Drosophila melanogaster: one gene and its partners. The protein of the gene in region 2 interacts with the protein of the main gene of each other region in a pairwise test. Each region holds a gene or a part of one and is shown on either strand. Other genes may lie near its edges. The genes, in order: CG17127, Tsr1, Aldh and CG13044.

Region 1 (4,064 bases), on a different chromosome or scaffold from region 2:
ACTTCGTCTCCGCTTCTTCCGCTAGCGCCTTGCGAGATTTGAATACGCGCACCGTGTTGTCGACACCACCAGATACAATGTACTTGGGATTGGACCAGTCGATGTCCAGGACCTTTTCACCGTGACCCAGAAGATCGTACAGTGGGGCCTTGGGACTCCTGCAGTCCCACAGCTTGTTCTGGTTGTCATAAGCGCCGGAGACAAATAGGAACTCCTCCGTGGTGGACCACATGACGGTCTGCACCCAGGCATTGTGTCCCAGATAGGTATTCCTTACCACTGATCCCTCTGAAAGATCCGAATTATATTGGTTAGGTGGAAGTTCCATTGTTGATATTGGAGTATTAGATCTTACGGTTTGTCCTAGGATCATAGAGCCGCAGATTCTTGTCCGCCGAAGCAGTCAGTATCAGCCGATTCAGCTTTGAGTAGCTCGCATCGAATATGGACTTGTTGGTGGATATTTCGGTCTTGATGCCCTCAAGACTCAGATCCCACACCTTGAGTGTGTGATCCCAGCTGCCAGTTAGCAGAGTGGTAGCATCCATCCACTGCACGGCTGATACGCTCTCACGATGTCCCTGCAGCGTAATTTTGGGGGTCTGAAAGGAATTGTAAAGCTGATTACAAGTCTAATTATAAATGGCAAGACTACTCACTCTCACACCGCTCTCTTTCATCCGCTTTGAGCTGCCCTCGACTGCATCGTCCAGCTCTGCTGACCACACCTTCAACATCGTGTCCCAAGAGCCCGTGGCAAATCTCAGACCATCCGGACTCACGCTGACACTGTCGACGCCTCGCTCGTGGCCCTTGCACACGGAGACACATTCCACCGAGTTGGAGCCCACGTTCCACTGCCACAGCATGGCGGTCTGATCCTGCGATGTGGACACAAAACGTCCCGTCTCCTCGTCCAGCGATATCCAGTCCACCGCCTTGATGGGCGCCGTGTGACCAGAAATAGTGAGAATGTGCTTGCCTTTGTTGGTCCACAAATTCAGGGTGTTGTCGTAGCACCCGGAGAGGATCCACTTTCCTCTAGCCTTCACCGCGGACACCCAGTCGTCGTGCAGCAGGCAATCCTGTGGCTCTGGCGCCGGGAACCGCTCCACATACTCGATCTCGATGGCGTCCTCGAAACTGATGGCTTTCTCGCGCAGGTGATCGCACAGCCGGCCACGCAGGTACTCATCGAACACCAGGAAGTCGAAGTCCGTGTCGGAAGAGCCATCTTTTTGACGCAACAGTGCGTTCACGAATGTGTTTAGCTCCACGGTGGTGACGGTGCCATCGATGGCATAGGGCACATCAGGCACGGCATAGCTGAAATAGGGTATCTTGATTAAAATCTTCTACTGATAGAGATTCTAGATGGACACTCACTGCTCCTGCTTGGTCTTCAGGTGCACCTGCACCTGCCCCTCGCCGTTATCCACATCCATCTCCTGGCCCACGTGCGTTTCTTTTTGGCTGGATTGGGATTGGGGTGTTCCCGCGTGTGTTTGCTACGGTTATGACTTAACTCCTGCAGGTGGTACAAGGTGTTGACCACTAAACTAGAGGTTCTTCCTTCGGGAGATCGTTGTGTAAAATTAAATTGAAAAGAAGCGTGTTTTTAAACGAACGATGGTAAATGCAACAAATACATGCAAAAACACTAAAAAACGCCGAAGCGCATGCCGGAATAAGAGTTATCGCATTGCTATCGCTGTGCTCTTATCGAAATGCCTTATCGTCTTGTTATCACCCGTTACTACTAAGCGGAGTTTTTAAATTCAAATTTTTTGGTGCGTTAAAACTATGCATAATTATAATAGCTTGCTTAAGTGTAATTTGCCGATTACTTTAACAAATAAAAAGATATTAATAGAGTGTATGGTATTTCTAATCACTTTGATTTTGTTTCTCTAAAATATTACTCATCAAATTCGAAAAACCGCTGATTGCATAACCACTGCTTTGTCGTTTCTCCTTTTTTTTATTACAAAAAAATCTTACAGAGATACGAGCCAATTCGCAATACTGATAATTAAATATTTTTTGCAAGCAAATCAGGCGCAGATGATTTGCTGTAATTTAGCCACTAACTGCTTCTCTTCCTTTTGATCGTCTTACGCAAAATGGAAAAATAAGAAACCAAAAAATGCACAGCCGCGGCGGCAATTTGTAAATGACTCTTCAATCTTCAAAGACTGGTAATTGTTAATATTTTACGTTCAGGCTATTAATATGAACCAGATAGCACCTGAAAGACCACTTTGCGGCCGAGTGTTCACTGGAAGGTTAAATGCCACTTGACATTTCTGAAGTGGCGCTTAACCTTCGCATCAAAATTGGACAAATGCCCAAGAAAATAAAAAATTTCCAATAAAAAATGTATTCACCTTAATGGGTCGATGGGGATATTAAGCTGGGAAGTAATAACACTTTTTTTCGGTACTACTACTTTGTGCCACCATTTTGGCTTTACAAAAAACCAGAAACGAAGCGAAATGAAAGAGTTAAAGCTTTCCAGATTTTCGGGGCTTCCAGCGGCGCAGCTCAGCTTATAAAACGGGCATTGCGCCTGCGCAGCCGAAACATTACAACAAACGACGCGCGCAAGGTAAGACCATAACCAAATCCAGTCCGCATCGAGCGCCACTGAATCCGTGCATCTCTTGCAGTTGAATCCCCTCGAGAAAACCCACAAAATGAAAGTGTTCGCGCTGTGTTCGATGCTCGCCCTGCTCCTGGCTGGTGCCCAATCCCTGCCCCAGAATCGCGAGGGTGCCGCCTACACGAACGAGGCGATCCGGCAGGCGCAGCAGACGCTTCTCATCCCCAAGGATGCCCAGATCCAGAACGTGCAGGAGGGCATCGAGCTGGGCGCGTACGAGCAGATACCCGGCAACCAGCGCATCAATCTCTTCGAGATCCTCGGCGACCAGGTGCCCTCCGAGGTGATAAACAACCTGCAGTCCCAGGTCGACCAGATCGGTCGCAACTAAGTCGTAGGACCACTTCCTTGGTTAGCTCATTGCATTTCGTCCTCATTGTTAAGTTTCTCACTAATAAAACGAAAACATTACAAGTATTTAATCGCAGCGTTTATTTACCACCCAAAACAATTGGAAAAAAAAATCCGAAAAAAATATTAAAAGCGAAAGTGATCCTCCCCGAAAACCAGTTGGTTCCTCTGCAAACGAACTCTCGAATCGAAACGAGTGATTTATTGGTTTGATTTGTGGCTTTTTCCTAACGATCTTCGCCGACTTTCTCCTCGCTGATCCCGCTGCGCATACGAATTAACAATAAAAGTCGGCACATTGCTATCGCATGGCATGGTATCCTATCCTCAACCTTGTTACGTAACCCGGGGATGGGAATGGCGATGGAGTCGCTGGTAACCCGAGTGGTTGCCCCGCCGGCAACTTTTGTGCTGCGGTCGTGATGCAACAGTTGTCGTCGTGATTGTTTTCCTCGGACTTTTATTTATTTTTTTTTGTATTTTGTATTTTGTTGCTTTTTGCTGGGCTTCGGTTTGTTTATTTAATTTCTGGTAATTGCCGCCACATGCACTTGCATGTGTAATGAGTTGTACGTGGAGGGGGCGTGGCATGCCCGCAGGTACAGAGGGGCTGCTTGCATAACATCTGGGTGGGTCCGATGATCGTAGGGTATTTTATAGGGCCCTGATTTTTGCATCATTTGTGGTAATAAATATTCCCAAATATGATATGAACCACTTAAAACTTTTATCTTGTGTGTTTAGAATTACCTCATTTTTATTTCGTACTTCATACATTGTTAAATGAGCTTCAATCTAAATTTACGCTAGTTAAAGTATTTTCATAATATATTTTAATTATCTCAAAAATTCTGTGTGGTATGTGTGTGAGTGATAGTGTGCACGATCATCGCCTAAATAAATTATGTTCATATAGGTAATTAATTATTTATTATACTCGTACGTACTAACTAAAGAATGACTGCGTTTTCATTTTGACACTTTTCTCCGCTCGTCAGCTTTGAAATTCACTCGAGCTTTTGATTTTCCTTTCTAGGAAAATCCAACGATA
Region 2 (6,885 bases):
GAGGCGGAGGATTTCTTTGAGTGAGTGTTTTCTGAGGCCCAAACTATAACGAACTAAAACCATGCATTTCTTATTTAGTAATGACGCCTCCGAGTCGATGGAAGCGTTGCCCTCGCCCTCGGATCACAATTTTGATGCCGATGACTTTGCCCTGATTAGTGCCACCCAGCATCTGCACAACCTGGCCGGAATCTCGGGAAACACATTTATGGACCTGTCACGCACTCCCAATCTGTCGGTGAACTCTAACACCTCCTCGTTGGCGCATCGCAGCTCAACCTTCTATGTGGACCTGCCGGGATTCCAGGGTACTGCCACATCCACAGATGCTGGGCGGGACGAAGACGAACTCCAGCGACAGCTTCGCCAGCAGGGCCGTTACGAATCGATTGACACATTTTCGGATATTTCAGATCTGGGAGCGGCACGCATTACGCCGCCCGAAGCGGGAGTGGGAGCTGATGTGGTAGCCGGAGCAGCCTCGTCTGCGGCCGCTGATCACATGCTTCTCAATGTCGAGACTATATCGAATTTCTCACAGATCAGCGACCTTGTTGCGGCCACACGTCTAGAACGTGTTGACTCGAATGCCACGGACTTGCGAAGCTTGGGCAGTCTTGGCTATCTGCTGGACCAGCCGGACGAAGGCGCTTCAAATTCGCAACACAGCATTCCCCACATGCGTAAGGAGAATTTTCAGCTGTTGTGGCGCAGTATCATAGAGATCATGGGTCTGGTCCAGGATGAAGAGATGCAAAGGGCTTGTAAGTATAGCCTTTAAAACGTGAAAGTACCATTCAAAACTATTGTTCATTTTTTAGATGAGAATCTCTTGGAGCTTGGAAACAGCAATATTAAAAAGGAGCCCAGCCTGGAGAGCTTTACCCAGCTAAATATGGGTGGCGATGAGGTATGACTTGCTTTGTCTTTTCAAAGATTCCCAACAATCAAAACAAAACTAAATTTTTCTTTCAGCAACCGGATAGCAATGGCAATCCCACCACTCCTGCACCAGAACCCATTGGCACTACCCGTCTATTTGTGGCTCTAGAAGAGGAGCTTCGTCAGGCGAGCGGAAAGTCCAGGACCACAACAACAAGCAGTGGGGACAGCAGCAGCACTAACATCTCCGAATCCTGGCACATATCTATTACCCAGTTTATCGCCACGGTTCTGACTGTCAACAGCATTGTAAGAGGTTTCCAAACACCAATCCAAATAAGCGAACAGATCGAGCAATTGCAAAAGAAGCGTCGCAAGTGTCTGTCCACCAATTACTGAATAATCATAGTCCCATCCCTGCCCTATGTCCTGTCCCCCCACAAAACTGTATTAGCCATATTCTATGAGAACCTGACCGATTCTTTATCCTTGTGCAATGCGACAAGCTTTTAAACGTATCCATGTTATATGTATGTATATTGTATTGCCTCTACCATTAAGTTAAGACAATTGTTTGTGAATATAATTCTATTATTCCTATTATACAACGCAGTCACATATAAAAAATTATCGATGCGGGATTTTTGTGTACATATTTTATGTACTTTTCGGGTGACATTTCCCGAATGGACACTTCGTAGGTTTCATACTTTTAGAGGTTTAAATGTAACAACAATAATATAAACTCATTTCAGAAGTTATTCGCACTGTCCATCGATCACTTATTTATCCATCCATTTGCACACACCTCTACTCTTCCATGGCCACTTGCTGCGAGCTCCTCCTGTTTGCCGACGCATGTTGTCGCTCGTGCTCCGCCGTTCGCACCAGACACTCTTCGTAGGTCCATTTGGGGAAGACTCTCTTGTACAGGTACATGAAAGCAGTGTCGTAGGATCGCAACTGCCCATCAAAGTAGCACTTCATGTGGCCGTGCGTGCCCAGTGACTCCTTAATGTGTCCCAGCCGTCCGCACTTGGTTCTTAGTTTCACAGGCTTGAAGTACTCCACATCCTCCTTGTAGAAGAACATGTAGCGAATAGAAGCCGACTTGCGATTGATACGCATGGGATGACCGCTGAGAACAACGCGCTTGAGAACAATACGATCTGGATTGCAGGACAGCAGGCGTCCACGGGCAACCAGCGCCAGGGTGGAGTCGGGATTCACCTTGAAGGCCAGCACGGGTGCCGGAGGGAACTGAATCGGTGCGTAAAACGTGGCGCAAACTGTTTCGTACGGACGGAAGTAGCGTTCGAACTGGATAAACATAATCCATTAATAAATAGTCAATTACAAATTAGTCCAAATATTACCTTATGCTTATCCCCATTGGTGTGCTGACTGTAAATGGGATTCACAACAAAGCGACGATAGCCGCACTGGATTATCAATTGTTCTTTAGACTTCAGCGGCACCTCCGAGTCGGGCATTCGCTGCAGTACCACGTTCATTACGCACATCTGGTGCTCATGGGGTAGCATTCCATATACAATAATGTTGTCCATAAGCTGGGCGGACTTGAAGGCATTCCAGCGGCTCTCAGGAACATTTATCACATAAAGAGTGACGTATAAACCAGGCTGAAAGCAAAAACATTATAATCTTATAAAACCGAATTTTTGGAAAATCCCTACCAGAACGCCCTCGAACTCCTTGGCTTCATTAAGAATCCTACGCTTGGTGCGGTCGAAGTTCTGGAACTGATAGATGCGAGCATAGTCAGCGGGAAGATTCTCCTTGGCATCCCAAGGCGAAGTTCGGAAGGACTCTAAGCCGCGATATTTCTGGAACCTCTCGCGAGCGGGCACATCCAAAGGAGTGTCTATCTCATCGGGCCAAAGCTGATCCGTGCGTGCTTGCTGCAGCTTCTTCAGGGTCTCACGCTCCTCCTGGAAGTCCATTTGCTGATCGTACTTTTCGTCGTTGATGGCAGCCTCCGAGGCCACGGACACGGTGTCCTGGAACTCCTCAGTGTCTGAGTCCCGCTTCTCGTACTCATCCTCAAAGGATTTGTTGTCGCACGACATGAAGTCCTCATTATCGTCTTCTTTGTCGTCATCATCATCTTCACTCATGTCATCGTCATCCTTACCGTCTGGGTCTTCCACTTCCTCCACATCCGGAATCCAGGCAGCCTGGTACTCGCTGTAGCCCTTGGGTACACGCTTAACAAGCTTCATCTTTTTAGTTTCCGCCTGCGATGCGGCAATCTCGTCTTCGGTGGGCCACGTCTGCTCCGCGTCCATGGGGTCGGGTATGTTTTCGCTTTGAAGGGAAGTGCGCTTAGAGGGATCACTGCGATCCAAGAGACGCACCTCACTATTCTCTCCATCGCGCGATTTATCTAGCTTATACGGATCTGGAGGGGCCACCACCTGGCTTAGCTGGAAATCACCCAAGCCGGGAATGTGGACCAAACCATTCACGTTAAGAGACTGTCCACGTAAGAAACCAGTAACTTCTAGTGTGCCCAGATCGTCGCTGGGATCTGAGCCCGGTTTAAACTCTACCACATCTCCAAAGAGATGTGGCCGATTGGCGACGTTATGGAGGATGCGCTTCTTCTGGCCTCCAATGCGCCGCATAACATTCAAGGCCTCGCTAGCGGTGTCCAATTGCATGATCTTCTCCTCGGGCAACAGCTTAGATATGACCTTCTGAGCCGCCTGCTTGGCAGCAGGACGACGCTTGGGATTGATTGACTCCAGATCCATGAGGGCTACTACCGGAGTGGGTATTCCCTGGGCTGACATCATGTTAAAGATCCGTTGACCCCAGCGGTCGAAGATCTCGTCATCGCCAAAGGCTGCGGTGGTCAAAAGCAGGGTGGTGTCGCAAACCTTAAGGTAATCCAGGGCAATTAGCTCATTTCCGCGTCCCACTGGTGGTGTGACAAAAGCGAAACGCTGCTTGAACCTTGGAAGATTGATGTAAACAATGCCACTTGGGGAGTTCTCCACGACCAGTTCGCTGTCACAGCTCTTTAGGATTTCCAATGCGGACATGGGATCAATCTGTTCGTGCATGGGTAGTAGGCACACAAGAAAGGGAGCTGTGTTCTGACCACCTAGTTTTCTCTTTTGCTCCAACACCTCCTCCCTTTTGTTTTTCCTGAGCTGGTTCATCTGGTTGCGACGCTGCTCCTTGCGCTGCTGCTGCTTGTGCTTGTGGGAGATAGGCCTCAGTCCAATCTTCCCTGTGAAAGGTGAACGCCCATGTGGGTTAGAACTCTGGATGATGCTATTAAGATTTCCACATACCTTTTTGGGCATTGTCTATTGCTCCTTTGGAGCGATGACGACCCGTTTTGTGAGCCTTGTTCGCTTGTTTCAGCGGCCCGGGCCGATGAAAAGCATGATCAGCCATAGTTACCAGGTAATTAACTATCAAATTCCTATCAATTTACGCTGTTTTGTTTCCCGAGGCTGGAGCTAGAGCACATGTTCTGTCGATTCAATATTTTTCTCGATAGCTCGACGTTTCTCTTGATATCGATGTTGGGCGATGTTTTGCAAAACATCGCCTGTAGCGCTTAACAGCAGTGGTGAGTATGTGAGTTAGCAGCTGCTAACAACTGTTGTATTGGGCGCAAATTTCAAAATATGCTATTGTACTGTAGGGCACTTCCCAAAAATGAAACAAATTGCCGCCTTGTTTTTTAAACCACATTCAATGTAAATATGTATTTGCTGTTTATGGTATAGACTTGACGTCTGCTTGAATATAACGCTTTTTAGTAGCTAGTTTACATTCATTCCGTGATATATGCATGCATCGGATTCTTTATCTTTTGCTGTAGTAGCTCAGTATAGTATATGTTCAAGTTGTTCAACTGCCTTTGATTATTCGCAACACCTTTGCCTGGGCGCGCTGTTCAAATTGGTTTGGGAATGGGTTTCTGATTGGGCTTACACAGGCGTAATTAGTAATAATTAACTTAATTGCGTAGCGTATTCATTAGTGGGGTGTGTAAACAATTTTCAGGGCCTCGTTTGGACCTAAAACTTAACGATAGTCCATAACACTTAACAATTAGGAGTAAATCAATAGAACTAATAGTAGGTAAATTGAGTGATTGTTTCTCATTAATTGGAATTGTAGTATCCCGAGATCTCCTCTGGATTATTTAGGTAGGTATATATTCTCCAAGCAGTTCTATCCTCAGTGAAATCCAACGGCGTGCTGGATAAATCTCAATGTGGCATGATTTTGCTGCGTTCCGTCGGCTCTCTCCTTAAAGTAATTTATGCAGTTGTATACGGATATTTGTATGTATATATACATATATATATATATATATATAGTTTAATATTTATGCACCGGGCCTACTGATGCCGCAATGCCAATGGCCTGCCCTATAAAAATTATGCGTATCGCGTCCCGTTCCGCCCCGAAATCCCCATTTACCTACAAAACATGCCGAGTACTCTACCTTCCGTCTAGGGTCTTACAAAATTGGTGCAATCTTATCGAGTGTCTTTGTGTGATTTTCTTTTTTGTCGTTTTGGGTTTGTTTCAATAAATGCAGAATTTCGACTCTGCGCCATCGAACGTGTCCTTCTGCTTCCTTTCGAGTGCCCCACTTCCCATCTCAACTGGCTGCGGGCTTATTGTTGTCTTTGTGCGCGGGATCGGGAGGATATGGCTCTTCTGTCATCCGCAAGTTGGCCAATTTCAATTACATGTTCCTGCACTGGGCGCAAACCGAGCGCGCCTTTGTATTGTCACGCACAAAATCATGCACATTGAACTTTCCATCATCGCCGTGCTCGTAGCCGCGACTCTTTAGTTGCCTGCAAATGAGAATGAAGATATTAAATGTATTGATCGGGGAAATTTCGAAGAATTCCATAGTGGTTTCACGTTCTAGTAATATACGTATCTCCTAAAATTAATTCTGTATTAATCAATTCTGTACTAAGCCTAAAACAGAGTATATTATGGATACAAGTTGTAAGAAACCTATAGTAATGCCTATAGAAACCTCATAGTAAAAGCTTTGCTTTAAATCTGAATACCTTCATTTTCGAAGAAATGAAAAACGAAAACTGAACTTTTCAACTATTCCAAGCATTATCTTGTGAATTTGATCAAATTTACATAGCTAAGATACTTAATATATTTTTAAATCAATATGTCTTTTTCCCAATTGGAAATAAATCGAATTTAGGATGGCGTTGCAAGGAGAACTCACCTGGCCACCGCTGTGAAGGACAGCTCCACATTGAGTCCCGTCTTGGCCGAGGTCTCCATGAAGGGCACGTTGTGCTCCCGCCCCAAACGCTCCCCATCCTCCCGCTTCACCTGCCGCTCGCTGCCGCTGCAGTCGGCCTTGTTGCCTGCGGATTGAAGCGAAAAGTTGATTCGATTCGAAGCTCGTAAGTTGATTAAGTTCAATCAAGGCCCTTTAACCCGATCTCTCACCTATTAAAACGATGACCACGTCCTCCTGCGCGTACTCCCGGATCTCGCCCAGCCAGGCGCGAATGTTGTCATAGGTGGTCTTGTTGGTCACGTCGTACAGCAGCAGTAGAGCTTCGGTTGAAAAATGCAATTAGGTTCAGTAGCAAAGGTAGGATAAAGTGCATCCGAAACAAGGATAGTTATTCGATAAAAAATAAAGTAATTGAAATTTAAAATATACATTCAAACTTCAATAAATATGTGGTGTATTAGATATAACATCAAACTAATACATTTTTTTAAATATGTGCAAAATGATCACATTTCCGTGTGTTACGAAATCACTCCATTTCTGTTTTCTTTATATGCACGAGGAAATAACGGAAAAACTGGATGTTCTTTGAATAAAAATTACCCCTAACAATTTGAAGGAATTTCATTGACCTGGAGAATTTCGGTTTTCTAAACAGATCGAGCATTGGGTTTTAGTACTGCATTTTTCCACAAATGCTTGAAGATTAAATATTGAATAATAAA
Region 3 (7,909 bases), on a different chromosome or scaffold from region 2:
TTTTTACGTTGTGTGCCAAAAGCATAAAGCATTAGGGTTTGTTGGTTATGGTTCTGGCCAAGGTCCTAAGTGGGTCACGTAGATTTTGGTCTAGGATTTCCTTTGTTTGATTTGACCTTTGACAGAGATCATTACCGCACAAAATTGATGGATTTTCCCTTTATCCTGTTTGACGTCTGTTGATTTTAGCTGACCAAACAAAAGTGAATTTATTACATTCTTATAATTTGAATATTCTGGCACTGCTTTGGTGTGAGAAAATGCTTTTAGCGTTCCACTTTGTCGATTTTGTTTCAATAACTACTTAAGTTGAAATACACATGTTTTATCATATCAAATGACATACTTAAATAACCTTTCTTAAGCATCAGAAATTAAATTTATTTATTCGAAAAGCTTTAAATGCGCTTCCATATTTGATTAATAAGATTAATAAGATTAATATTTCCCTCATTTATATTGTGAAATCAAAACAATGTTCTGAGTACATTTCCCTCTGGCCAGTTCAATTTCATTTCCCGGGAAGCACAAATATTACGTGTGTTAATTATATTCCCACCTCTGCTCTACACACCGAGTATCATACTACCACACACAAGCCAAACTTAATTTACGTAATCATCCATAAAATTGTGCAAGCGCAAGGAGCGACATCGACTCCCACCAGGCGTAATTAAATTCAATTGAAAGTAATTTCCAACAAATTGTTGTAAATTTCATTTTCGCATTTATAACCCACATATGTATGTACATATACTACATGGTACTGCGTCCAGCAATCAGCCATCAATGATGGCATTTAAGTGCGTGCGCCTGAGCCGAGCTGTCCGAATGCAATTTATTTTTTACGCCAAACTGTTTACTCTCGGTTATTAAATATTTCATGCAGCTGAGGACAGCAACCGCAGCGACAGCAGAATCATCAATAACCGGCACCGCCGCATAACAATTGCCATTAAAGTTTATTCGGGCGGTTTCGGCGTTGGTAATTGGGCCCTTCGGTGGGAAAATCGAGGGGAATGGAGCCGGAATCGACCAAATGTTTACTCAGCCTCCATTTCAGTTGCATGTGCTTTTCGGACGGAAGGGTGAGACGCATTGTATTGAATTAGTTTTCCGACTGTGATTGCTTTCGTTCGCCAGTTTTGGCCAACGATGCGTATGCGTGATTCTCTTGACAGCCGTCGCTAAGCTTTCAATTTACGAGTGAAATAAATTTCGAAAGATTTTGACAAATTGGCCTAAATCGCATTTAATGAATTATGTTGAAATAAATTTCGTCCTCTTTTCGCTCATCATCAATTTTGTGCTAGTAATATGGCTGACAGCCGAAAAGTATGCCATAGCCATTTTTATTATGCGAATGCTCGTGCAAGGGGATGAAAACGTTGAGAAGCAAGCGAAATAATGAAGAGAGACAGCAACATAATAAAAATCAAAGTAATGTTCAATAATAGACGAACGATTTCGGACATTTCACTAATGCATTACTTTAATTCAATAACTTTTGGGCAAATAAATTAGCGCAATTCTTTGTATTGTACCAAAATAAATAATAATACCTTATTTATTATTACTATACAAGTCTTGCTAGTTAACAGTAAACCATCTGGCGCATTCTGTTCCACAAGTTATATAATATAATTGTGAATACAAATTCTAAAGCTCATTGATTGATTGGCCTGATAACTGTTTAGATGTTACAATATCATTTGGTTTTAAATTCATTTCCTCCCATCGTGAAATTATAAAAAATAGCTAGTCATTCTAAACGAAAAACACAAAGTTCTGGAATATTTTTCTTTTAAGCGAAATCGTATGATAATTTATACCGTGGAGGTTTGCCAAATAAGCTACAAAAGCAATCTATAGTTTCATAAATTACTAAAGAGTATCTTAACGAGATAAACAATATTATAATAACCCCACCCGGCATAATGAAATCTCCACATGCAAATGCAATTTTATTCAAGTACTTTTCGTACTTAGTACTTAGTTATTGCGTTTAAGACTCTTTGTTATTGATTTCCTTCTCTTTCTGGTTTCCCTATTGAAGAGATTATCTATCTATCTCGCTCTGACTTTATCAGCACTTATCAGTGTTGGCAATGAGCTTTTAACTACTTTATGCCTATCTACTTTTTCTCTTAAAACCATCCCATACTAATAACTACATAATACCTCAATCATATACTTATTATGATTTTGCTCCACCTAATTAATTATATAAAACAAGGTATACTATGTGGAAATTCTTTTAAGTTATAAAGCCAGCTGTGTGTATCAGTTCAAACCGTTAGGTCACAAAAATTTTATTTATTTTAATTTAAAAAAAAAATTATTAAATTTTCGGTCTAAATTGTGTTATTGTTCTTTATATGGCTCCTAACAGTTAAAAATCTTATAGATAAGGGCGACCATATGTAGCTATTTTTGGCTATGTTCTTCTGACAGCACTTGTGGCGTGGCGCGAGTTCCCCTCTAGACACTTAAATATTCCTAAGTAGTTTTCGCGAGCGGCAAAGCTACGAAATCGTTTCAGTTGTCCGTCGACCGCTGAACAATTAAGACGCAGTTCTAGTTTTGCGCTCTCAGTACTTTTCTCTAGTTTTTCTATCCGGAAAAGTATAAAAAATAATCTATTCAAAATGCTGCGCGTTTTGAAGACCGGTGCCCTGCTGCGTTCCCAGGCCAAGAACTTCGCAGCAGCTGTTGCGAACTACTCCTCCCTCCCGCAGCCACAGACAACGCCCGATATCCTCTACACCGGGGTAAGTCCTAATCCTAACTCAAATCCAAAAAAAAAAAAAAATAAAAAGTGAAAAGCATTATAAATAAATTGCGGCATTTGTAGCAATCGCACTTGCAATCTGAGTAAAGAACTCAACAGGAAAGCAAGCATTTGACTTGTTTTTGAGCTGACCTTGAGGCGAGCAACTACAGCTGTTATCGCCCTAGAGCCCCTCCTCAAATACCCTACATATGCGAATCCAGTTTTTAGGTTCTCCGGTGTAGGTCTTCCCCATTTCGATTTTAACGAAAAGAAATTGGCAAATCAGCGCAACGCAAGCGAGTCTCACCGCATTCAGATCACGTACACCAAATGTTTATCGGCAGATGTAGGGGATTGTAGGGGATTAGGCTGCTTAAGCGAATCGAAAGACCGGCGACTAAAATAAATATACAAAGGCGATATCGAAAAAGCAAAAACAACAATCGCATATGTAGTTCGCCGGCTATTGTTGTTGTTATTTCTGCTTCAGCTTCTCATTGTTTGCCATACCCGGTTTCTTTGTTACGTCAGCAGTGGCGCTCGCACACGCAAAACAAAAATTTGTTTGCCGCAAATTCTCATCATTTATTCTTCTCATCGCCTCGCGCTTTCATTTCTTCTCTAGGGAAATTTGCATAAATTTAACCATTGTCATTTTTTATCTTTAGTGTCACCAATTAAAACTAGCGTTCGTTCGATTTAATTGAAAAGGAATTGCGGTTAGGAAGCGAGCCAAATGTGGTTTTTGTCCAGATGTTAAATGGGATCCAATGAAATTAGAGCAGTTCGTATATAGTAAACATTTTTGCAGAAAAAACTTGAAAATCCAATGTGCACGGTTTTTATTTGTCTATATATATTTCAGAATTTTTAAAGAAACTCCTAGCTTACATCGCTCTTAAACTGTCTTTAAATAATTGTTAGTGTTCTATGTTTTCCAAAAACAAGGAAGTTCTTAAAAATTTGTATATAATAAATATTTTTGCAAATGAACTTGATTTTCAAATATGCATGTCTTGCATACCAATATATTTTTGTTTTTAAGTCTAAAAATGAAATCTTGCATACCTCTTAAATTGGCTTAGAATAGCAAATAACATATATATAGACCATATATGTACATATATGCTGAACCCTAAAGCAAAATATTTCAATTTTACAAGAATTGAGCATTCGTCTATTTTGAGTGAACTGCATATTATGCAACCTTTATAGTACTTATACATATGCCATAATCTGAGAATCTGCTTTCATAACAAGAAATATCAGCCCATAATGTCTCGCGCACCACAAACGTTCTAATCTCTTGATTTATCTTATTGTATTTGTGTTTGTTGGCATAGGCAGTTTCCACTTCTTATCACCGGCAGCCCTATTATTTTGGGGGTCTTTACTGGGCGAGATAACATGGCACACTTATAAGATTGGCTTCCCTAATCGAACCAGTATTAGACTCGTCTAGCCAGACCCCCGAAAACTAATGCACACGTGCGTCGTCGCTATGTTTATATTTTGCTATGTCTGGCGGAAAGTTTTATATTCGCAAGCACATTGTGAAATTCAAAAGTAGATGTATGCAAAAATAAAAACAAAAAGAAATAAAAATGTTCTATAAAATAGGATGACGTGAGGGGTTGGACGCGAGGGCTCACTTCGTTTCAATTTTAATCAGTTAGCCGGTAAACGTTTTAGATTACCCAGACTGGGGGATTGTCAGATTCAGGTAGCCATGCGAACGAAACAATCAGTCAATTGCGATAGAGGAATAACACGCACGGCAGGCAATAATAACAAATAACAGCAGTCAAGGGCTTATCATATAGAGGAGTGGCTTGTTTGTCAATCCAACAAAACGATGTAAAATACAAATGAATTCAATAGAAGAGATTGTGAATATGATATGGCACTAATTGAAGCTGTTAACTACTTATTGCAGGTATTTATCAACAACGAGTGGCACAAGAGCAAGTCGGGCAAAATATTTGAAACCATCAACCCGACCACAGCGGAAGTCATTGCCGAAATTCAGTGTGCTGATAAGGAAGATATCGATATTGCCGTCCAGGCTGCACGCAATGCATTCAAGTGAGTGTGCAATTTGGATATAAATCGACTTTGCTTATTAATAACAACTCTATGATCACTAGGTTGGGATCTCCATGGCGTCGCATGGATGCCTCGGAGCGGGGTCGCCTGCTCTACCGCCTGGCTGATCTCATGGAACGCGATCAGGTCTATCTTGCCGTAAGTATCAAGAAATATTTTAATAATTCAAGGTCTTTAGTTGGAAGTTTAAAATATTAATATAGTTTATATATACTTATATGCTTATCAAAATTTAATTTTCCGACAGAGTCTGGAGACCCTTGACAACGGCAAGCCCTACAGCATGTCCTACAACGTGGATCTCCCGACTGCCATCAAGAACCTGCGCTACTTTGCTGGATGGGCGGACAAGAACCATGGCAAGACTATTCCCATGGACGGAGATTTCTTCACTTACACCCGCCATGAACCCGTGGGCGTGTGCGGCCAGATCATTCCCTGGAACTTCCCCATCCTGATGATGGCCTGGAAACTGGGTCCCGCTTTGGCTACCGGCAACACCATTGTACTAAAGCCCGCTGAGCAGACCAGTTTGACTGCTCTGTACATTGCCCAGTTGGTGAAGGAGGCTGGCTTCCCCGAAGGTGTGGTCAATGTGGTTCCCGGATTTGGAACTGCTGGCGCTGCCTTGGCGAACCACTGCGATGTGGATAAGGTGGCCTTCACCGGTTCCACCGATGTGGGCAAACTTATCCAACTAGCATCGGGAAATACTAACCTAAAGAGAGTGACACTGGAGTTGGGAGGCAAGTCGCCAAACATTATTCTGTCTGACACCGATATGGACTACGCCGTCGAGACGGCTCACTTTGGTCTGTTCTTTAACATGGGCCAGTGCTGCTGTGCAGGATCTCGTACTTTCGTGGAGGACAAGATCTACGATGAGTTTGTCGAGCGCAGCGCGGAGCGGGCTAAGAAGCGCACCGTGGGCAATCCCTTTGATCTGAACACTGAGCAAGGTCCTCAGGTGAACGAGGAGCAGATGGAAAAGATCCTTGGAATGATCAAAACAGGCAAGAAACAGGGCGCTAAGTTGGTTGCCGGTGGCAGTCGCCCAGAGGGCCTACCCGGCTACTTCGTCCAGCCCACGGTGTTCGCCGATGTCCAGGATGATATGACCATTGCAAGGGAGGAGATCTTTGGACCGGTTCAGCAGCTGATCCGCTTCAAGAAGCTGGATGAGGTCATCGAGCGGGCTAACAACTCCGAGTACGGATTGGCCGCCGCCGTTTTCACCAAGGATCTGGACAAGGCCAACTACATTGTGGGTGGCCTGCGTGCCGGAACTGTGTGGGTAAACACCTACAATGTCCTCGCTGCCCAGGCTCCGTTCGGTGGCTACAAGATGTCCGGCCATGGACGCGAGAACGGAGAGTATGCTCTGTCCAACTACACGGAGGTCAAGAGCGTCATCGTCAAGGTTGCCCAGAAGAACTCCTAAGAAGGACCAGATATTTCCTCCAAGAGGGACGCTTAATATGGTTCGCCCTACTTAGGTGCTCTAAATTCCGGCGATAATCTACATCTCTATAATGAACATAGTTTTAAATACATCTGTTTGATATACCTAACTACGGCCAGTTTTTGTATTTTTTCCATTCGGTTAGTTTTCTTTAAGTGTACATTTCTATCTAGTACATATGTAATGCAGCTATAAATCAGTGCAGGGACCTGGTCAAACAATTCAAAAGTTGTTTTATTTACGTTCTATCTTACTCCCCTTTGCCCTACAGAGTTTTATGTGTAATTCCAATGTTTGCCAATAGATTCTTGGCTTTGTTTATAGCACACTCTGAACTGAATGTCATTATTTTGCTTATCCCACAACACTGAGATAGGACAAACAAGCACACAGATACTTCCTCACAGCTTACACTGCACGAAACATTGATTGGTTTAGCATAGAGCCAAAAGCAAATGGATAAAGTGAGCAACCAGCACACGGAGCTCAGGGAACTAGCTTGCTCGTCCATCTAGGAGAAATAAGCTTACATTTATTTGCATTTATTGGCATTTTCCATCGTTTTGTTTTAGCCTCGAATGCCTGAGTGTGTGTGTTTGAATCTGTGTGTGGATTTCTGTGGCACTAAGACTCACATATCAGGACGTACTCAAACTTACACAGACACATCGGGTCGTTTTTCATCCAACATCATGGCATACAAAAAAAAATTGGAAAAAGTTTTCCATTAGATTGGACAGCAGCTGAGCGTGTCAAGTGCTTTGCGGTTAGTGGAGAACTTGTTCTCTTATTTTCCACTTTGTTGTTTTCGAAATTGAATAAGCGCATTTGTATGCAATTTATTTAAAATTTGTATTTCAATTTTTGTGATGACCAAAGGCCAAAGTGCAAGTGGTTATTTGTTTTATTTATTGCCTAGCTTTGAAAATGTCACTTACGTTGCGGAAAAGAGTCCAGAATCTTATTTGCGGTCTTGTGGAAAAAAATTTAATTTAAGAAATCGATTCAATTAAACTAGGAATGTTTATGTATGTATTGAATTTAACTGAATATTGCCAAGCGTGTTTGAATTATGAGATTAAATATTTCATATCAGTTTGTATTTACCGTAGAGTGCAAACTTGTATAAAACAAAAATGTATTTTGCATTCCGTTTGCAGGCGCTGCAAACCTAATTCGATTTGTGCCACCTTTTCGTATTGAACGAAAAACCAGCAAAAATCACTAAGCCCCCACGGCGTATACGCAATTATTTTATTTTACCGCTTGTATTCCGTATTTTGGTTCTGTGCTTTTTTCTGGACTAAATATTTTAAATTGATTTTCGCTTGATGGCAACCATTCATACATATTCGAGTATAGAACAAAAACGCAAAGAGGAACGACTGGAAAAACTGTTAAAATTGCAAATGATCCATGGGCAATTTTAATACCCCAAAAATGGCAGGTGGCCAACTCGGAAAAAGGGCAACTAACAGGATTTTAGCGAAGAGAATGGTGGCTGCGGGGGTCGAAGGATATGGAGAAGGAATGATGATTGCCAAAAGCGCAGCCGTGCGCATTGAGGC
Region 4 (4,352 bases), 5.0 Mb from region 2:
CTAACCCATTTCCAAAATGTTCAAGTTGGTGGTATTGTCTGCTCTGCTCGCTGTAGCCGCTGCCCGTCCCGGTCACCTGTTGGAGTCCTCCCCGCTGGTCTACGCTGCCCCAGCAGCGACGACCATCGTCCAGGAGCCCGTTCTGGCCAAGGTGGGAGCCGTGGTCAAGAGCGTACCCACTGCCGTCAGCCACCAGAGCCAGTCGGTGGTGCACAGTCACGCTCATGTTGTCGAGGATGTCGTTGCTCCCGTGGTGAAGTCCACTCCGGTGGTCAGCTATGCTGCTGCCGCTCCAGTGGTTCACACCTCCTATGCCGCTGCTCCCGTTGTCCACACCAGTTACGCTGCTCCTGCTCCCGTTGTTCACACATCCTACGCCGCCGCCGCTCCCGTTCTGGCCACATCCTACGCCCAAGTGGCCGCCTCCTCGCCGCTGACCTACACCGCCACTGGTGTGTGGTAAATCCATGGCCAGGCCCACTCCGAATCCTACTCCTCTCACTGTTGACAGGTGACCAGGATGCATGTGCATCGCTGGACGGTTTTGTGATACGAATTTTAAATAAATAAATGTTTTGCTTTGAAATCGTGCAAGTTGTTTTCTTCACCCTGCGGGTCATTTATCTTCCTGTAGTTCCTAAAGAGTCTAAACAGATGATAGTAACAAATAGCTTTTATCACTAATATATAGATGAAATATATATACTAATACAAAGGTACTAGAACTGAAAAAGTAAATTAACTGTGGAACTCATTGTTCTTGGTAAATATATAATGAAATTCGGGGCTGATTTACTTTGTCTTGAAATTCAAAATGTTAGGCGAAATGTTGACATTTTGACGTGAATTTAGACTTTTTTTTTAAACATTTTCCGGCGCGTGTGGACTTGGTCTTAGCTCGCTTGGTGTACTAAAAGTGTCCTGGTTCAATGCCCTGTGTCACGTATCTACTTACATCCTGCTGCACCTGTGCCGTGGGTAAATATTGGACACCCATATGTCGGAAAAACGCCACATATGTGGGTGAAAATTAGCTGGGTGACAGCGTGGGCATCCCGCTGGTTGGGAATTGCTGACATTTTCGGGCAGTGAACTCAACGAACCATTAGCCCTCTTCAAGGGCATTTCTAAAAGTCATTGTACCTCTGATTTAAACGTTTTTAATAATACAGGCTAAAAACATTTTAAATCACTTTTTTTACAATTAAAACAATACATTAGTTAAAATGTTTGGTGCGGAAGTGTGTAATCATGGGTATCTCCATCTTTAACTTGGCAGCAAAATCAGCAAGGGGCTGGAAAAACATGGTTAGTGCTCCACTCAATCCGCGATCCACCTCTGTCACGTTCACCTCCCTTCTGACTATCTCGTGGCGGCCATTAACATATCCATTGGTGCAGTGGATGCTCAGAAGGATTAGAACAAATATCTAGAAAGAAATCCATTTAACAGAGTATTTTTATGAATATTTTCTATATTTTCTTACCGCTTTCAACAGGTAATCCATTTGTAGTGTTATCAACGGCGGGTTAAATGCAATCACTGGTGCATTATTAAAATTCTACGCATTTATATACCAAATTCTGTTCAATTCTTCAATACGAGTGTTCTGGATGTTCTGGACAGGTGCAGTCACAATTTTACGGAATAGAAAAATAAACACAGACAGTTTACTTGGAGGAAAGCAACACTTCAGTGGTCGGATTAGGTTTAAAAATGGTCAACAAAACTGTACATATATATCTAAATCCATTTTCTTCCTACAAAAAAGTTTACAAGCAGTACATATATGGCGGGATTTGGCGAAACGTGCCGGGATCTCTAGCGGGATTTCTGGCGGGGCCTTTCGGGCTCCCGCGGGATTTCGGGATAAAAGGTAGAAAGTTGAGATTAAGTATGCAGATTCCAGAGACATATACATTTGTTGACCCACGTTGTAAAAAGACGCCACACCCACAGTTTTGAAAAAACTGTTAAAATTTTCATTTAATAATCAAAGAGGTTGTTGAACTTTCTCGTTCGCATTCCCACTAGCTGATAAGCGGGTATCTAATAGTCGAGTAAATATACTATAGCGTTCTTTCTGTAGCTTTTACTCACTACTGTTTTGAATGACCATTTTAATCAAGCAAAAATCATTGCGAATTCTTGGAATTTAAGTAAATGCGAGTAAGCCAAGCGAAAGTGTTTTCCTGTCATTATAAACTTGGCCTTGAATTGGGTCGGAAGCGATTACGATTGGTTTCCAATTAGAAGTAATCTCGGACCCTTGGTTCTCCCTCCGCACCAGAAATCGATCTTCAGGTGAGTACGTGCGACTAATGAGCTCCGAGTTGTGAAATGAAATCAAGAGTGGGTATGGCAAACAAGTGCGAGGCCGAAAATAAGTGAAGTAATGAGTAGTGGGAAAGGGGCAAACTCGGTTGAGGAGGCGAGCGAGCCGAACAGAAATTGGCCACGAATAATAATCTGGTTTATGGCCAAGACCCGAGACAAGCGGCCAGAATCCGTTCAGGCACGTTCGACTTATGGCTTATTGTATCCGCCTCAATTGACAAAAGCCGGCGAAGTGCGTGTGTGTGTAAAATGTGAAGTTCAAGTATAAAAGACGTTGACAGTCCCTCAGCTCAACACATTCGAAGTCTGTCTCCCTATCCAGCGACACCAGTCGAAGAAGCCAACACCACACCAATATGTTCAAATTGGTAAGGATCGCAGGGATATCCATATGGCACCACTTTGGAATACTAACTCTTATTCTCGTCTCCAGTTCGTTCTCGCTGCTCTTTTGGCCGTGGCCGCCGCCAAGCCCGGTCACCTGGCTGCTGCTCCTCTGGTCTACAGCGCTCCCGCCACCACCACCGTCGTCCAGGAGCCCGTTCTGGCCAAAGTGGGTGCTGTTGTGAAGAGCGTGCCCACCGCCGTGTCCCACCAGAGCCTGACCCAGGTGCACAGCACCCCCGTGGTGGAGGATGTGGTGGCTCCCGTGGTCAAGACCACCGCTGTCCACTCCGCTCCCGTGTTGGCCGCCGCACCCATTGTGAAGACTTTGGCTCCCGTCGCCTACTCTGCTCCTCTGGCCTACTCCGCCCCGGTGGCCTACTCCTCGTATGCCGCTCCTCTGACCTATTCCGCACCGGTGGCCTACTCGGCTCCCCTCTCCTACGCCGCCCCAGCTCCCCTGCTGCACCACGCCCCTCTGACCTACGCCGCTGGCTCCTGGTAATGTGGTGAGGATCGAAAGAGTTTGAACTGTGCCTTTCTAGTTGAAAAAAAATAAGGAAATCGAAAAAAGAATAAATTAAATTGTGAATACCAAACAGATGATGTGAATTTCTTAATGATGTGGGGATATATAAATTAATTCTGAAGTTTACAAAGAAGCGTTCTAAAAAGTGTTCCTACATTTCTGAATGTTTTAAAAACAGAATTAAATTCATTTGAAGTACAAAACTTATTTAACAATGGTATCGATGCACAATAACTAAATACTTCAATAACATTTTGAATAAACCAAAGCTTGAATTTTATTTGTATTTATTTATTTGTTGTCCCAGCAAATAAACAAAAATTTTTTTAATTGAATATTAAATTCAGGTTGTCTTTAAAATCAACAAAATTTAGACTTACTGAAATGTGATTTAAGAGACGCAGTTGCACCCAGCCATATTGGTTTGGTATGTTTTTTGATTATGTACGTTTCCAGAACAAGAACTAATGTTTTCCAATATTACTATATATATTCCAGAGGCTAGTTCACTAAAGCTATCATAGGTACTATGATATTACCTTTACGTCGAACGTTTTTATTTATTGCATATTTGATGTACATTTAAGTTTGCAATACAGAAGAGGTAATATGTTACACATAACCAAAAATGAGATTTTCTGTGGAGAAGGGTTTCTTTGTTCGTTGTTCTACTTCAGATAAATGCTGGGGTAACTGGATACTCCCCAGATTCCCGGCTCGTACCATCCCGCACTGTTGCCCGCGTATCCAAGTGGGGCATACGAGATCGAAGTAGCTGGAGCATAGGCTGCCTTCAGGATGGGCGTGTGATCCACAATGGGGCGCCAGTAGGGACGCTTCTCGTGCACCACTGTGGAACTCTGGTGTGAGACGGCGGCTGGAAGGGCATAACTCTCGTATCCTACGACACTGGGAGCATATTCCACGTGCTCATAGCTGGGCAAGTAGCTGGGGCGAGCCTGGATCAGGACAGCGAATACTCCGCACAAAAGGAACACCTAAGGGGAATAGATATTGCTTTAGGTATTTACCAAATATTATGTGTTATAGGGGCAACTCACAACTTTGAACATCTTCGCTGGGGAAACTCTGCAACAATGT

The links.
Region 1: the proteins of Tsr1 (region 2) and CG17127 interact in a two-hybrid assay, tested with the Drosophila melanogaster proteins (one large-scale study listed by BioGRID).
Region 3: the proteins of Tsr1 (region 2) and Aldh interact in a two-hybrid assay, tested with the Drosophila melanogaster proteins (one large-scale study listed by BioGRID).
Region 4: the proteins of Tsr1 (region 2) and CG13044 interact in a two-hybrid assay, tested with the Drosophila melanogaster proteins (one large-scale study listed by BioGRID).

What each region holds. Positions count from the first base shown.
Region 1 is NT_033779.5:10,768,289-10,772,352, forward strand, and holds CG17127 (uncharacterized protein), read left to right. Parts: upstream 1-2,579; 5' UTR 2,580-2,608; intron 2,609-2,642; exon of another isoform or gene 2,643-2,669; 5' UTR 2,670-2,696; coding exon 2,697-2,993; 3' UTR 2,994-3,082; downstream 3,083-4,064. Other genes in the region: CG6724 (uncharacterized protein), read right to left, coding at 1-288, 356-602, 660-1,326, 1,387-1,445.
Region 2 is NT_037436.4:21,332,749-21,339,633, reverse strand, and holds Tsr1 (Tsr1 ribosome assembly factor), read right to left. Parts: upstream 4,420-6,885; 5' UTR 4,312-4,419; coding exon 4,206-4,311; intron 4,142-4,205; coding exon 2,580-4,141; intron 2,526-2,579; coding exon 2,259-2,525; intron 2,203-2,258; coding exon 1,693-2,202; 3' UTR 1,402-1,692; downstream 1-1,401. Other genes in the region: Tbc1d8-9 (TBC1 domain family member 8/9), read left to right, coding at 1-20, 79-764, 822-910, 976-1,281; Rab26, read right to left, coding at 5,624-5,738, 6,140-6,284, 6,370-6,480. UniProt on the Drosophila melanogaster protein: Required during maturation of the 40S ribosomal subunit in the nucleolus.
Region 3 is NT_033779.5:9,385,120-9,393,028, forward strand, and holds Aldh (aldehyde dehydrogenase), read left to right. Parts: upstream 1-2,269; 5' UTR 2,270-2,648; coding exon 2,649-2,771; intron 2,772-4,709; coding exon 4,710-4,858; intron 4,859-4,920; coding exon 4,921-5,017; intron 5,018-5,126; coding exon 5,127-6,320; 3' UTR 6,321-6,448; downstream 6,449-7,909.
Region 4 is NT_037436.4:16,301,456-16,305,807, reverse strand, and holds CG13044 (uncharacterized protein), read left to right. Parts: upstream 1-2,629; 5' UTR 2,630-2,694; coding exon 2,695-2,706; exon of another isoform or gene 2,707-2,771; coding exon 2,772-3,227; 3' UTR 3,228-3,318; downstream 3,319-4,352. Other genes in the region: CG13043 (uncharacterized protein), read left to right, coding at 17-463; CG43249 (uncharacterized protein), read right to left, coding at 1,218-1,430, 1,488-1,508; CG4982 (uncharacterized protein), read right to left, coding at 3,920-4,249, 4,313-4,324.